Linked DNA regions of Tribolium castaneum. The protein of the gene in region 1 purifies or fractionates together with the protein of each later gene. This does not show direct contact. Links are inferred from orthologs where the notes say so. Each region holds a gene or a part of one and is shown on either strand. Other genes may lie near its edges.

Region 1 (6,867 bases):
CAACGCAATTAACTTTAATTGAGCTTTCTATAAACCTTCCCTTAGTTCCCTTAGTTGGTTAAATAAATTTCTTCAATTATATAACGCTATACAACGAAAATTCTGCCTGATTTCGACACCGACATTTGTTTATAACAAAAACAGACTATATTTAATAGCAAACTTTCATTTATCTTGTCATTTGTGTTTCATAATAATAACTTCTAATTGTTAGTTAACAATTAGTTTTCCTTTTCCTTTGGTTTTGGATTAATTTTTTTTAAGTGTGTTTTTCCTTTTGGTGGTGCCCTTTTGTGGATTATCGTTTTACTGTGCCCCGGACAATTTTATGAGTATTCTGTTTTGTGTTTGTAATATTTGGAGCACTCTCGACAATTTAAATTACTGATAAAATCATATCTTTGTTGTGCTTCATTTTTCAAAAAAATCCTCAAATAGGTTAATTGTTATTTTTATAAATAGCTAAATACTAATCACATTTTGGCACTACTTTAAAGTGTATGACATCATTGGTTTTTCAGAAATGTCTTCATTTTTAATTTTTTGTAATCACAACCAACATCTTTTTTTTGATGTTTTAGATAGCTCACCACTCTATCTTTCTGGTAAATATAAAAAATAAAAACAATAAAACAAAATTTTAATAATAAAATAAAAAAAGTTAAATTGTCAGTGTTATTTTTACACATGAGGTTTTTTATTTTTATTCTTGTCTTATTTTATAAGGTGTGATGTTTTTATACATTTTTTTATAATTGCCTAAATAGAGTTACAACATATCTTAACAAAATATCTAAAACAAATTAATATAACAAATTATTTATCTGTAACATTCCTCCTTTGTCGCCTTGTTCTTAATACGATTCGTCCGCTAAAACTCTATTTTGCGGACTTGTTACGTAAATAACTATTTCTGTATTTATATCTGAAAAATTATAAAATTTACTGTCGAAAATACTAAGAAAAAATGTTGATTGGCAATAGATATCGCCTGGTTTCTTCTAATTTTCCTGATTTGTCCAAAATTTCTTTAATTACTTAAATTACTCCATTTTTCTAAATTTACATTTTTCTCACAGGACCAACACTAGTCACGACGTTTGGCAGTTTGGAATTGTGATATTTGTGTGTTTGACCGGGTGTCTTCCATGGCAGAAAGCCGCCCCTGACGACCCCCGGTACTCCAGGTATATTTCCTGGCAAAGCAGCACTATTCCACTGAAAAGACAGCCAAAATTGTTTAAACTGGTGTCGTCCAAAGCCCAAAAACTCTTCAAAAAATATTTAGAACCAAAACCCGAGAAAAGACCAGCGGGGCTTGCCGAAGTCCATCGATATTTGGAAGACCGCTGGATGTCCAAAGGCGGGATGGAGAAAACGAGCGAGTTGCCGGATGAAGAGGAGGGGCTTTGCCCCTCAATGTACAGCTTCCACAGCAGTCCGGAGGAAAAAAATAAACTACTCTTCACCCTAACCCAGTACGGACTTGAGACAACCGTTGACCGAACGGCCAAAAAGGACCGAATCCGCCAGTGGATCCAGTCGAGTGTCATTGAGGAGGAAAACGAAGAAGAAATCGAAGCACTGTCCGATGAAGAAATCGGCCCTGAGGGGGAGCGAAACGAGTCGCGCGGACCTGTCTCAGCCCCCAAAACCAACGGCCTCGAAACGGACAAAACCAGCCGAAGGAGAGCCTCAACGCTCAGTCTTCGCAAAGTTCCGGACTTTTATATCCCCCCGATTGACCCACGAATCCCCCTTGAAGAGCAAAAGGAGAAAAACGTGTCTCGCAGTCAAATCATCAAGACGAAAGACAAGCCGAAGGACGAGTTTTCAATAAGCAAAGCGTTGCCATTCCAGAACTTACAAGTGGTGAACTCACTGTCATCACTTGATTCCAGTGATAGTAGCACAGTGAAGCACCACAAAATTAACGTGCAGTTGCCCCAATCGGAGAAATACGTTTATGGGGCCACCCCTAACGGGGTGAGCAACGGGGTGCGCAGGTCGCCCCCTGTTAACGTACGAGGGGCTGAAAAGATGTACAGGGCGTACTCGGCCACGGAAGTCCGAGGGAATGGACATTACTCAAGGAAATAAATGCTCAAAACGTGACTGATTGTTATTTATATTTGTACATATTAACGTGTTATTACCACATTTGTATCATGGAGTGATTAATAACTAGTCCTAGGCCAATTTAGAGTAAAAAATGTTTTATTTAAATTTGTTCTTTAAATTTTGCCCCCAAAACCTCTTGGTGATTTTTGATTTGGAACTAGAAACAATCTCAAACCTTGCAAATGTGTTGATGCAATTGCGTGAAAAATAGTTAATTTAAGTGTTAGAAATGGGGAAATTGAACGTAACAATAATGCGTTACCTCACCGGTGAGGATTTCCGGGTTCTAACAGCGGTAATTTGGCGTTTTATCTTGAATTTATTTTCCTAACCTCACTTTTCAGATTGAGATGGGCATGAAAAACCACGAATTGGTTCCGGGCCCCATGGCTGCGTCCATTGCGAATTTGCAGCACGGCGGTGTTCACAAATTGCTGCGTGATTTGTGCAAGCACGGATTATTGAGTTACGAGCGGGGGCGCAAATGTGGGTTAATGTTTTTGCAGACTTCAGGTTTTATTTTATTATTTCAGACGATGGTTACCGCTTGACCAACATGGGGTATGACTATCTGGCCCTCCATTCGTTAACAAAACGCGACGTTATTGGTTCTTTTGGAAATCAGATTGGGGTGGGGAAGGAGAGTAATATTTATATTGTTGCAAATCCTGAAGGAGAGGAAGTTTGTTTGAAGTTGCATAGATTGGGACGAGTGTGTTTCCGGAATGTTACGAATAAACGAGATTATCACAAGCACAGAAAATCGGCGTCTTGGTTGTACTTATCAAGAATTTCAGCCACTAAAGAATTTGCTTACATGAAGGCGCTGTATGATAGGAAGTTTCCAGTCCCTAAACCCATTGATTTTAATAGACATTGTGTCATCATGGAGTTGGTCAAAGGGCGGCCCTTGTGAGTTTTTACTTATTTTAATTACTGGTCAAAGTTGCTTTGGAATTTGAAATTAAGTTGGCAACAGTGCCAAATTCAAACGTTACACTTATCCCTAAAGTGTAGTAACAAAATTCCTCAAACTGTGTAAATAAAGAAGAAAACGTCCAACTGGGTAAAAAGTTATTGTGACAACATTGTAAAAAGAGTATCAATTAAGACGATTTCTAGGGAATACATAATAATTATAAAATAAAATTGTTAAAAGTAAAAACAACAAATAAAAATAATACGTAAACAATATAACATAAATTAACTTCTTTTTGATGAGTAAATTCGTTTTATTTTTTTTTTATAACAATTGTCAAAGTGAATATTCTCTCAAACACCTTAAAACCTTTAGTTTCGGAACACTTGTATCGAAAAAAATCAAGTTTTTATTGTTAAATATCAGAAAACTTACAACGGGGTTAAGGAAATTTTATTTCAAAAGACAAAGAATTCATAATGATAATGATACGGTTGCCAGCCTAGTAATCATCAAATAACTAGTGGGTGAAAGAGGCTCATACCAATATAACATATATAACATATAACTCATACCAATATAACAACACTTTAACAATTGATTTAAAAATAAATTTAAAGAATAAATAAATTAAAAATAAAATAAATGTAAAGAATAAACAGACTAGGTGTACTTACACTTTTACTGTCTCCCTTTTATCACATTTTATGATGAAAACAATGATACTAAAATAATCGTTGTTGGAAAAAAAACTTTTCTTGTTTTTAAAGTGAGCATCTGTGTCAACAAATTTTCGGGAAAAAACAATTACAAGCAAGTAAGCCTCTGTAAGATAAAAGATTAAAAATTCAAGTTTGAATAACGTTTTCGTTCATTATTAAGAGGTAGAGGATATTATCTTCCCTTTTTTTTTATAATTAAAAATCCAAGAATGGCAGTTTATTTTTAGCTGGGTATCCAGAGTCGTTGCCTAATGTTAACTTGAAATAAATCTACGGTTTTGATATTTTTACTGAAAACTAAAAGAATTTCTAAATTATGTAAAATTTTTTTCTTGTTAAAAAATTCCTAGAGCTGGGAAAGATGCTCTAATGTGGCATCTCTGGCTGGGATGTGTGTCAACTGACACAATTTTATCTCACTAATTCAGTATTACCAACTTAATTTCAAAATCAGGGGGCACTTTAATCAGACATTTATTTAACCAATATACATGTACTAAAGTTATTTTCTCACGTAGATGGGTGCTGAAAGTATTTTTAAATACTCTAAAGTATTTTTATTACAGGAGTGTCCCAAAATTAGCGAATTCTGAGTTCAGAGCATCTCAAAACTAATATATCTCAAAAACTAATAGTAGGAGAGAAATCAGCGTTTGCTTTTTTAATTTATCCACCTTTCCTGATAATTAAAATTTATTAATTAAAAATATTAATAATGATAGCCCCAAAGTTACCTCTATTTCCATTTTTATTTAATTATTTTTGGGGCTAGAAACATTTTTTATGAATTTTTTGCACTAAATGCTTGTTCTAAAATGATTCCTAAATTAATCTTTTGCCACGAACTTATAATTAATAATAAGTATACAAGTATTTAATAACAAACTGGAAATTTGTGTGACTATTATTTCTGGGGTATATTAAAAGTATACTTCTAGCAGACCCACCTTGTATAAGTGTAAAAAATAACTTTAGTGCTGAAGTGTTACCTTACGTTTTTTCTGAACCCGTATTTTTTAAAATTTTTGATGTATCCAAGGACTGTCTTTACGGACGATTTTAACAATGACAATAGAAAAACAAATTTTACCGACTATTTTGGGTTGTTTTACGGACGATTGCGGCAAGCATTTTTACAAATTTATGACTTACAATTTTGAAAACTTTATGTCTCCAAAAGTACTACTTTTTTCTGACTATTTTCGGTGACTTGACGTAGTATTGCGGTTACTTTATGGAGGATTGACCCCGACAAAGTTCTTACGAACTACTTTGCGTTACTTTAGGGCAAAAAAATTTTAGGTGTCACGTAATGGAATTAAATGACGTGGAGGCGCTTTACGATGAATTAATGAATCTTATTGTTAAGTTTGCCGATAGTGGAGTGATTCATGGTGATTTCAATGAGTTTAACATAATGATAAAAGACGATGAGAAACCTGTAATAATTGATTTCCCTCAAATGATGTCAACAGCTCATGAAAACGCTGAAATGTTCGTATTTTCCTACTTTCCCCTGTACACCAATCGGTAAATGAAATTGTAGGTATTTTAATAGGGACGTTAACTGTATTAAAACTTTCTTTAAAAAACGATTTGGTTATGAGAGCGAATTATACCCAAAATTCAGCGATATCGAAAGAACGGATGCTCTAGACGCTGAGGTTTTGTGTTCAGGGTTTACGAAAGACATGGCTAAAGATATTAACCGAGAATTGGGTATCGATGAAGAAACTGGGAGCGAAGACGAAGAGGAATCACAAGATACTGAAGAAAAATGCACAGTCGATTCAATTTTTGATCAGTTGAAACTCCAAGATCGCGAAACCCAATCAGATAGTGAATCAATTGATTCGTTTGATAGATTTGAAAGTGGAAGTGTGAGGTCTTGCGCGACCACGATCCACCCAGATGAAATCAGAAGTCGCGTCAAAAAACAAATCGTAAGTAGGGAAAAGAAGACTCAAAGGAAGAAATGTGTAGCTAAGGGCGAAGCTAGCGCCACTACAAGGGTCCGAAGGGAGAATAACGATACCATTAAACAGAGCAAAGGACTGTGGGGATGGGAATGAAATTCAAGAGTTATAATTTAATTTTAATTTAATAAAAGTTTGTCTATTAGAAAACAAGTGTTTCATTTCATATACATTTCCCGATTTTTGTGCTTTGATGCGTCTATATTTTTTTATTTTTTTAAATTTGTATTTCTTAACATTTTTAGTCTCCTCATCGGTCATCGTAAGTTTAATAAAAGTTCGTTTATTACAAGTGTTTTATTTTATTTCATACATTTTATGTTGGCAGTACCTTAGAAATTTAGGGGATTTAATAGTAACGAAAAATGCTAACTTAATCTCTCATTAGTTGGTAAAAATCTATGCGGACATTTAAATTTAATAATTTCTTCATAAGGATCATTTCAACCTTTTGCGGCTTCATTATCGATTTTATAATGCAGAAAAAAGAGTTGCTGCGTTGTAGAAAGCTGTTTGCGGGCTTTCCTGACATTGGCAATGTGTAAATGTGGTACCAACTTATTTTCATAACGACAAAGAAGACAATGAACCTTCACTGACTTATTTTTTCGGTTGAAAGGTTTCTTGCGGATCGATGTTAAAACATTGACATTCATTGAATTCAATATTTTACTTAATATTACATGAGTTATTTTCTATTTTTTATTTGGTAAACTCTAACAAATTTAGGGAATTTAGTAACGTCTGGACCAACTTAATTTCATTCTCTAAATTTGTAGATTTTTTCCTGAGATTTTTTGAAATTTGCAAGTTAGTTTTTTTTTAATTTGTGTTCCTTAATATTTCTAGTCTCCCCACCTGTTTTCGACATTAAAAATTTTGTTGTCACCATTTATTTAGATTCAACAATTTACTTTCGGTTCACTTTCATAAAAACCGTTGTGTTGCAAATAGCGTACTTTTGGCATTAACTTTTATGAGTTGTTATGATAACAAGTTAGTCATTTGCACCACAATGGTTTTTATGAAAGTGAACCGAAAATAATTGTTGTAGTTGTGTATTGCAAGTGTTTTTCAAACTTTTGGCAATGTTGGCAATTTCTAATAAATTTTAGGGATTTAGCTACGA
Region 2 (6,021 bases), on another chromosome or scaffold:
GTTTTTATCGGCGCAGATAAATTAAGGGGGCCAGAAATTGATCTTTTTATTTATACGAACACAAAGGCCAAAATCTTAACCATTGAATAAAGACTTGGAAGCACACCAATGTCGCCAAAAATTAGAGGTCAAAACGACTTAACCCACATTAAAAAAAGCAATTAACTACACTTGTTGACCGAATTAAATTATTTTCAAAAATTCTAAGGTGTATGTTTGGTTGCCTATATAGACACAACTTTTTGTATCAGTTAGATAATTCGACTTTTGTGATTAAAAATTCCAAAAAATTTAAATGCATTGTTGCAATTCTACTATAAACTGAAATAAAACATACTTATTTTGTAATTTCCGAAATAAAGCAAAAAAGATTTTTTTTGCAAATATAATCAGGGTATTGGCAGTCCCACTTTGGTTGGGCGCTTGAATTTTTACATAAGCTTTTTTGCCCTTAAGTACAGATTCAATAATTTTTTTTAAATGTTTTTTTTTTCAAAACTGCGCCAATTTCAAATTCTCAGGGATTTTAGCCGCTTGGTATCGCCATCGACCGTCAAGTGTCAAATTCAAAATGTCGGATCGGCTTTGGTTATAATCGCTGATAAAAATAGCATTATTTGGCTATAAATAGCGTTATCACACCAGTAAAAGGTAGAAATTTATTGCCCGTGCTTGTCGGGGCCCCGCCCAGTCACAATTCGCCAAAAATCCGTATTTTTAGATGTCAGCGAGCACAAGTCCGTCGCATTACACCGAAGACGCCTTCGTGACAGATGCCAACTTCAAAGTGGAAATTAATCAAAAAATGAAAGTTCCCGACAAGATCAGCTTCAACACGGACTTGAACGGGGCCACACAGCCCCCGTGGAACCGCGACAACATCAACATGCAAGTCCCTGAGCGAATCCTCGTCGTGGGGCAACATCAGCACATTGGTGAGTTGTTTAGGTTATTTGGTGCGTCTGACTAGGATTCTAGGGACAAGGGCGCCCCCACGCGAAATTGTCTTTGACAACTCGATCCTTCCCCCAGAACCGTACCCCGGGGATGTGCGGGTTGCGACCCCGCCCAGGACTTTGACTCTGGACAAGTACCCCTTTCCCACTCTTGAGGAGATGGAGGACCCGGAACTGAACCAGATTCCGGTGGTTAAACCAAAGAAAAAACAGGCGTTTGATGATTCGGATTTGAATCTGACGATACGCGAGACTACGCCCCCGATCGGGGGCAGCGGCGAGAGGCTGACGGCCGCCGAAGAGGTGCTGCACCTCAGGCGGCAAATGGCGAAGCTCAACAGACGTGTGATGGCCTTAGAATTAGAAAACTTGAGCCGGCTCCAAAAGGAGAAGTTTCTAGTTGGTTTTGGAGTCGCTTATTTGTTGTTGAAAGTCATTATTTGGATGAATAGAGATTAGGGAGCACTAGTTTATCCCTAAGTTAGGAACAAATCGTATTGACGTTAATTAGTTCTGGTTTAAGTAACATAATTTTCCTAATTTTTCCAAGTTTTTATTAATAGTCTTGTTGTAACCGATTTTTTTCAATATAATTATCACAATTATGTAACCATTAATTTAGTCAAAGTCCATTTTTGGTTCGGCGGTTTCAGCGTCTCGACATTTCGCATTTTGAATTTCTCTTCTGATCTCTGGTGTGATAGCGTGGTGGTTTTGCTTCTTTAATAATTCTAATAAACTGTCCCTTTGCTCGCTTGAAATATCAGCTTTGTATCTTTGTACAAATGTCAGGAAAGCCTGATGCCACAAAACGGGTAATTCCCTGGAATCTCGCTCGAATCTCAAAAAGTGGAACACAACTGCGTCCACAACACGATACGGCAACGCGTATCTTTTATCGAAGAAAATACGCAAAAAAATCGAATTGGCGCCGGTGTAATCCATTTCCGCGATTTTCAAAATCGCGGCAGAAGAATGCAAAATAGGAATAGAGTTTCTTGCGACAACTGAGCCTATTATAATAGCTTCCCTGAGCGTACAATCGCCACTTTCAAGCAGTGGTAGGAGAATTCCCTTCATGAAGCCCCCAGGTTTGAACAGGGCTTTCCTCAAGGCTTGATATAAGTGGAAATTGAGTCGCTTGTATTCGGCCAAGTCGTCGCGAATTCGGGGCAACAAAACCAAATTATAGAACCTCTGAGCCATTTTTTCCTTGAGGTTTGAGGCGAAAATACGGGTGGCTTGGTACATGGCAGCAGCTGACCAACTTGGCGGATCTAAAACTTAATTAACCGCTGGGCATCAACAATGATTTTAATTACCCGTGATGTATAAGATTTGTTCCCAATTCCGCAAGTTGGGGATGATTTTGAACGCTTTCGGCAACTTGCCGCTCCTATATTTCCGCAAAACATCCCTCACCCCTTGATACATTTGTTCCACCCGTGGGTCCAACTCCTGCATTTTGACCGAGCCTTCCTCGCTAAAATGCGTCTTAACTTCGGTAAACTTCTCGGCCAAAATATCCCCCAAAGTGCGTCTCGGGGCCGGATTGCTACTCATGAACTTCTCTAAAGCTTTCTCATCCTCTTCATTGATTTCAATGTTTTCGTAAAACGTGTCCGGTTCGAGGGTGTCTTCCTCTTCCGGTTCGGAGTCATCGTCCCCCAGTTTGGACACTTTAAACTTGCTTGAACTTGCCTCGGACGGCGTGGGGCCGAAACTTGAGTCCAGCTCGCGTTGCTGCTCTCGGGCGGCTGAGAGAATCTTCCGCGAGAGGTTCGAGTCCACAAACTGGAATTTTTTATTGGTTTTAGACAATCATAAAGCGATACAAACTTGTTCATCGTCGTCTTGTCTTAGACGGATTTTGTTGCGGTTTTTCGACTTGGCAAACTTCGCGTCCTCGATGTCCTGGTCCAGGGGCACCTTGGTGCCCATCTGAGACGGCTTCAGGCGCTTTGCTTTGCCCATTATCCCTATTTGTTTACCACACGTGTCTTCAAACTATCTGGACGTAACCTAAAAGGACTTGTCAGAGGTTTGGGTTGGCGACATTGGCAATTTAAAATTAAATTGGAAAACAGCAGCATTAAGTACGAGATTGGGTCAAATCGGGTAAAATATTTTGCAAAATTAATTTTCTAAAAATTCGCTTTTTAAACTATTGCGCTATTAGTTTAAAATTCGATAAAATTAAGCAATTAGCAGGGATTTTTTTATTATCCCTAGAGGTCAAGATGGAGGACACCATCTTCAAAACTTGTGTTGTTGGTGCATAAAAGTGTGTTTATTTCGTCAAAACGGTAATTTATCACTACATTTTTTCCTAATTAAGCTTACATAATGCTTGTTCAATACTTTGTCGTTTTTTTATTTGTCTAAATCGGTGTAAAAACTGAAATATTAGCTCCCATCCTCTCGTTTAGGTGTTGGCACTTTCCCCCGCAATGAAGCCCCCGGGGTCGAGATTTTAATTAAATTGTAGCGATGCGTTACATTGGAGCTGCCTAAAGGCCCCCTTGTCAGTGTTCAAAATAATAGCAATCCCAAATTGTGCCAAAATGTTCAATAGCAGCCTTTTGTACGAAAAACGACCTTTGAAAAAGCCGAAAATCGGCCCTCCGGACGTTTACCCGCAAGAACCGAAGCAAAAAGAAGACGAGTTGACGAGTGTCAACGTTAAACATGGGTTCCTGACAATGACCCACTTAAGCGACGAATTTGGAACGGCCAGAAACTGCAATATTTCGGCAAGCAAAGTCGGGGATTATTTCAATGACATTATCAAACGCAAAGAGGAGTTGAGCATGTTGCCCGATTCCGGCAGGAAGCGGCAACAAATCAACCCCAAAGACAACTTCTGGCCCGCCACAATACGAACAAAAAATGCCATAGAACTCTGGTTTAAGGATCTAGCTGGGAACAAACCATTGATGCACTTGTCGAAAAAAGCGCCCAATTTCAACAAGAAAGAGGAGATTTTTATAATGCTGTGCGAGTATCAGGTGCCTATGATGCGGGCCGCCTGGTTTATCAAGTTGAGTTCGGCTTACACAGTTGCCGTGTCCGAGGCCAAAATCAAAAAACGGCAAATGCCAGACCCGACTACAGGTCTCTATTTTATTACTTGTATTAACTTTACACTTAACTACAATTTCTTGTAGAATGGACCGGAACGATGCTAAAATTCCTCAAAGAACAAATCCTCAAACTGCAAGACTATTACTCCCAAGGTGAAAAGCCCCCTCAAACCCCTTCTCTGACCCAGGCTGCGACCACCGAAACTGAGCAAAAACTCGCAATGCGTCATTGGATTTACTGCACACAGTTGCTCAAATACATGTATGAGGAGGGCCTCATGGACAGGCAAGAAGTCCTGACCTGGATTCTCGAACTTTTGGAAAAAATGAGGTCACAACCGTCCGATGACGGCATTTTGCGCCTTTTGATGCCTTTATGTTTGCAATATTTGGACGAATTCGTCCAATCTGAGTTGTTATCGCGACGTTTGGCGCATTTGTGTTGCAAAAAACTTGGCTACATGTTGAATAACGTCGCGGAAAATAATCTAATCACCTCGCCCCAAAGTGAGACAAAGACGGAGCAAAAAGACAACGAAAAGGAAAAGAAGGATGTGCCGGTGACCAATCCCATGCAAAGCACGCTCATGGAGTACCAAAATTGCCCACATCATCGGGATATTGGTAGGGAAAAAAATTTTTTTACCGATTTATTTTTACAAAATTTATTCTAGTGTTACAGCTGAGCACTGTTATTCAAACTATAACTCTTGAATGCCCGACGGCCCTAGTCTGGTGTGGTACTGGCGTTGGTAGTGTTTGGCACGGGTCTCCCCTAGATTTACTACCAATGGTACCATCGTCACTCCCGATGGCGGCGCGCTGCGACATGAACACCTACCGGAAACAATTGCAATTTGCCGAACATTGCATAAGAGAAAGGAGCAAAAGGGCCGAAGGCCGCTGGTGTACGGAAAAATGGCAAAATTCGTCGGCCGGTAATACAGTTAACTGTAATTAAAATTTTCTAATTTTTTGAGTAGGAACAATCACAAATCGTGTGTTGGCCGCGTTGGACGCCCTCGACCGCCACCGCTTCGACAAAATGGACTCGACCAACTCCCTTGACACTCTCTACACCAAGGTTTTTGGCGGTAACAGTGACCAGGAAAATTCCGTAGTAAAGTTATTATGTGAGTGGGCCGTTTCGCCCGAACGCACAGGTGAACACCGGGCCTTGGCGGTGGCGGCGCTTCTGGACCGCCGCCAGTCCGATTCGGCCACAAACGGGGACCAGGAAACCGCCCCCGGGGACGATAAAGACTCGAATTGTTCCGTACCAGGGGGGCCTCCAATGTTCCAACAACTGTTGATGAAGTTTTTGGATAGTGACGCTCCAGTGCCGGCACCTGATGACTGTCCGCAGAAAAAAACCGCCTTTTCGAATTTAGTTCATCTGTTTGCTGAGTTGATAAGGAGAGACGTTTTCTCACATGATGCCTACATGTGTACGTTGATTTCGAGGGGCGATTTGCTGGGGCCCGAGGAAACCACCGATGTGAGCACAAGCCACCAGTCACATCACACGAAATTAGAGGTGAGTGCGAATTAAAAGCCAATGCATTTTGCTCAAATTTTTTTATTTTATTTTGAGTTCTTATGATCATTATCAGTACAAATGATTTTAAGTCAGTATTTTTAAACTTAGGACCATTCGCACAATATGGATTTTGACGACGCGACAATTGACCACGACTTGGACAAAATCCTGCAGAACATTAAAGAGGACCAACAAAACTCCATGGACGTGCCTGACAGCCCCAAAGAGCACGACCATGGGCACCACCCGCACCAATCGTCCATCGGCCATGTGCCCATGGAGACGGACCACAATGACCATAAAGTCAAGCCTTCACGCCACCTTCTCTACACCACCCATTTCCCCTTGTACCAAGACGACCCATTCTCCCAGCACGATTGCAACCAACGACACGTCCTCCTCTATGGAGTGGGTAAAGTCCGAGACGAGGCGCGACACACAG

Evidence for each region. Proteins that work in one complex are often made in the same cells at the same time.
Region 2: the proteins of RIOK2 (region 1) and bys purify together in Homo sapiens (affinity purification with mass spectrometry; 3 studies listed by BioGRID and IntAct, with this or other methods). This does not show direct contact. The link is inferred for Tribolium castaneum from reciprocal best matches to the Homo sapiens genes RIOK2 and BYSL.

What each region holds. Positions count from the first base shown.
Region 1 is NC_087394.1:23,766,613-23,773,479, reverse strand, and holds RIOK2 (serine/threonine-protein kinase RIO2), read left to right. Parts: upstream 1-2,258; 5' UTR 2,259-2,350; coding exon 2,351-2,416; intron 2,417-2,465; coding exon 2,466-2,607; intron 2,608-2,654; coding exon 2,655-3,033; intron 3,034-5,064; coding exon 5,065-5,256; intron 5,257-5,308; coding exon 5,309-5,834; 3' UTR 5,835-5,891; downstream 5,892-6,867. Other genes in the region: serine/threonine-protein kinase SBK1, read left to right, coding at 1,080-2,100. UniProt on the Homo sapiens protein: Serine/threonine-protein kinase involved in the final steps of cytoplasmic maturation of the 40S ribosomal subunit. Involved in export of the 40S pre-ribosome particles (pre-40S) from the nucleus to the cytoplasm.
Region 2 is NC_087398.1:4,028,668-4,034,688, reverse strand, and holds bys (bystin), read right to left. Parts: upstream 3,017-6,021; 5' UTR 2,931-3,016; coding exon 2,796-2,930; intron 2,751-2,795; coding exon 2,279-2,750; intron 2,234-2,278; coding exon 1,575-2,233; 3' UTR 1,488-1,574; downstream 1-1,487. Other genes in the region: Tango11 (transport and Golgi organization protein 11), read left to right, coding at 722-935, 979-1,415; kto (mediator of RNA polymerase II transcription subunit 12), read left to right, coding at 3,521-4,070, 4,124-4,663, 4,714-4,977, 5,023-5,576, 5,688-6,021. UniProt on the Homo sapiens protein: Required for processing of 20S pre-rRNA precursor and biogenesis of 40S ribosomal subunits. May be required for trophinin-dependent regulation of cell adhesion during implantation of human embryos.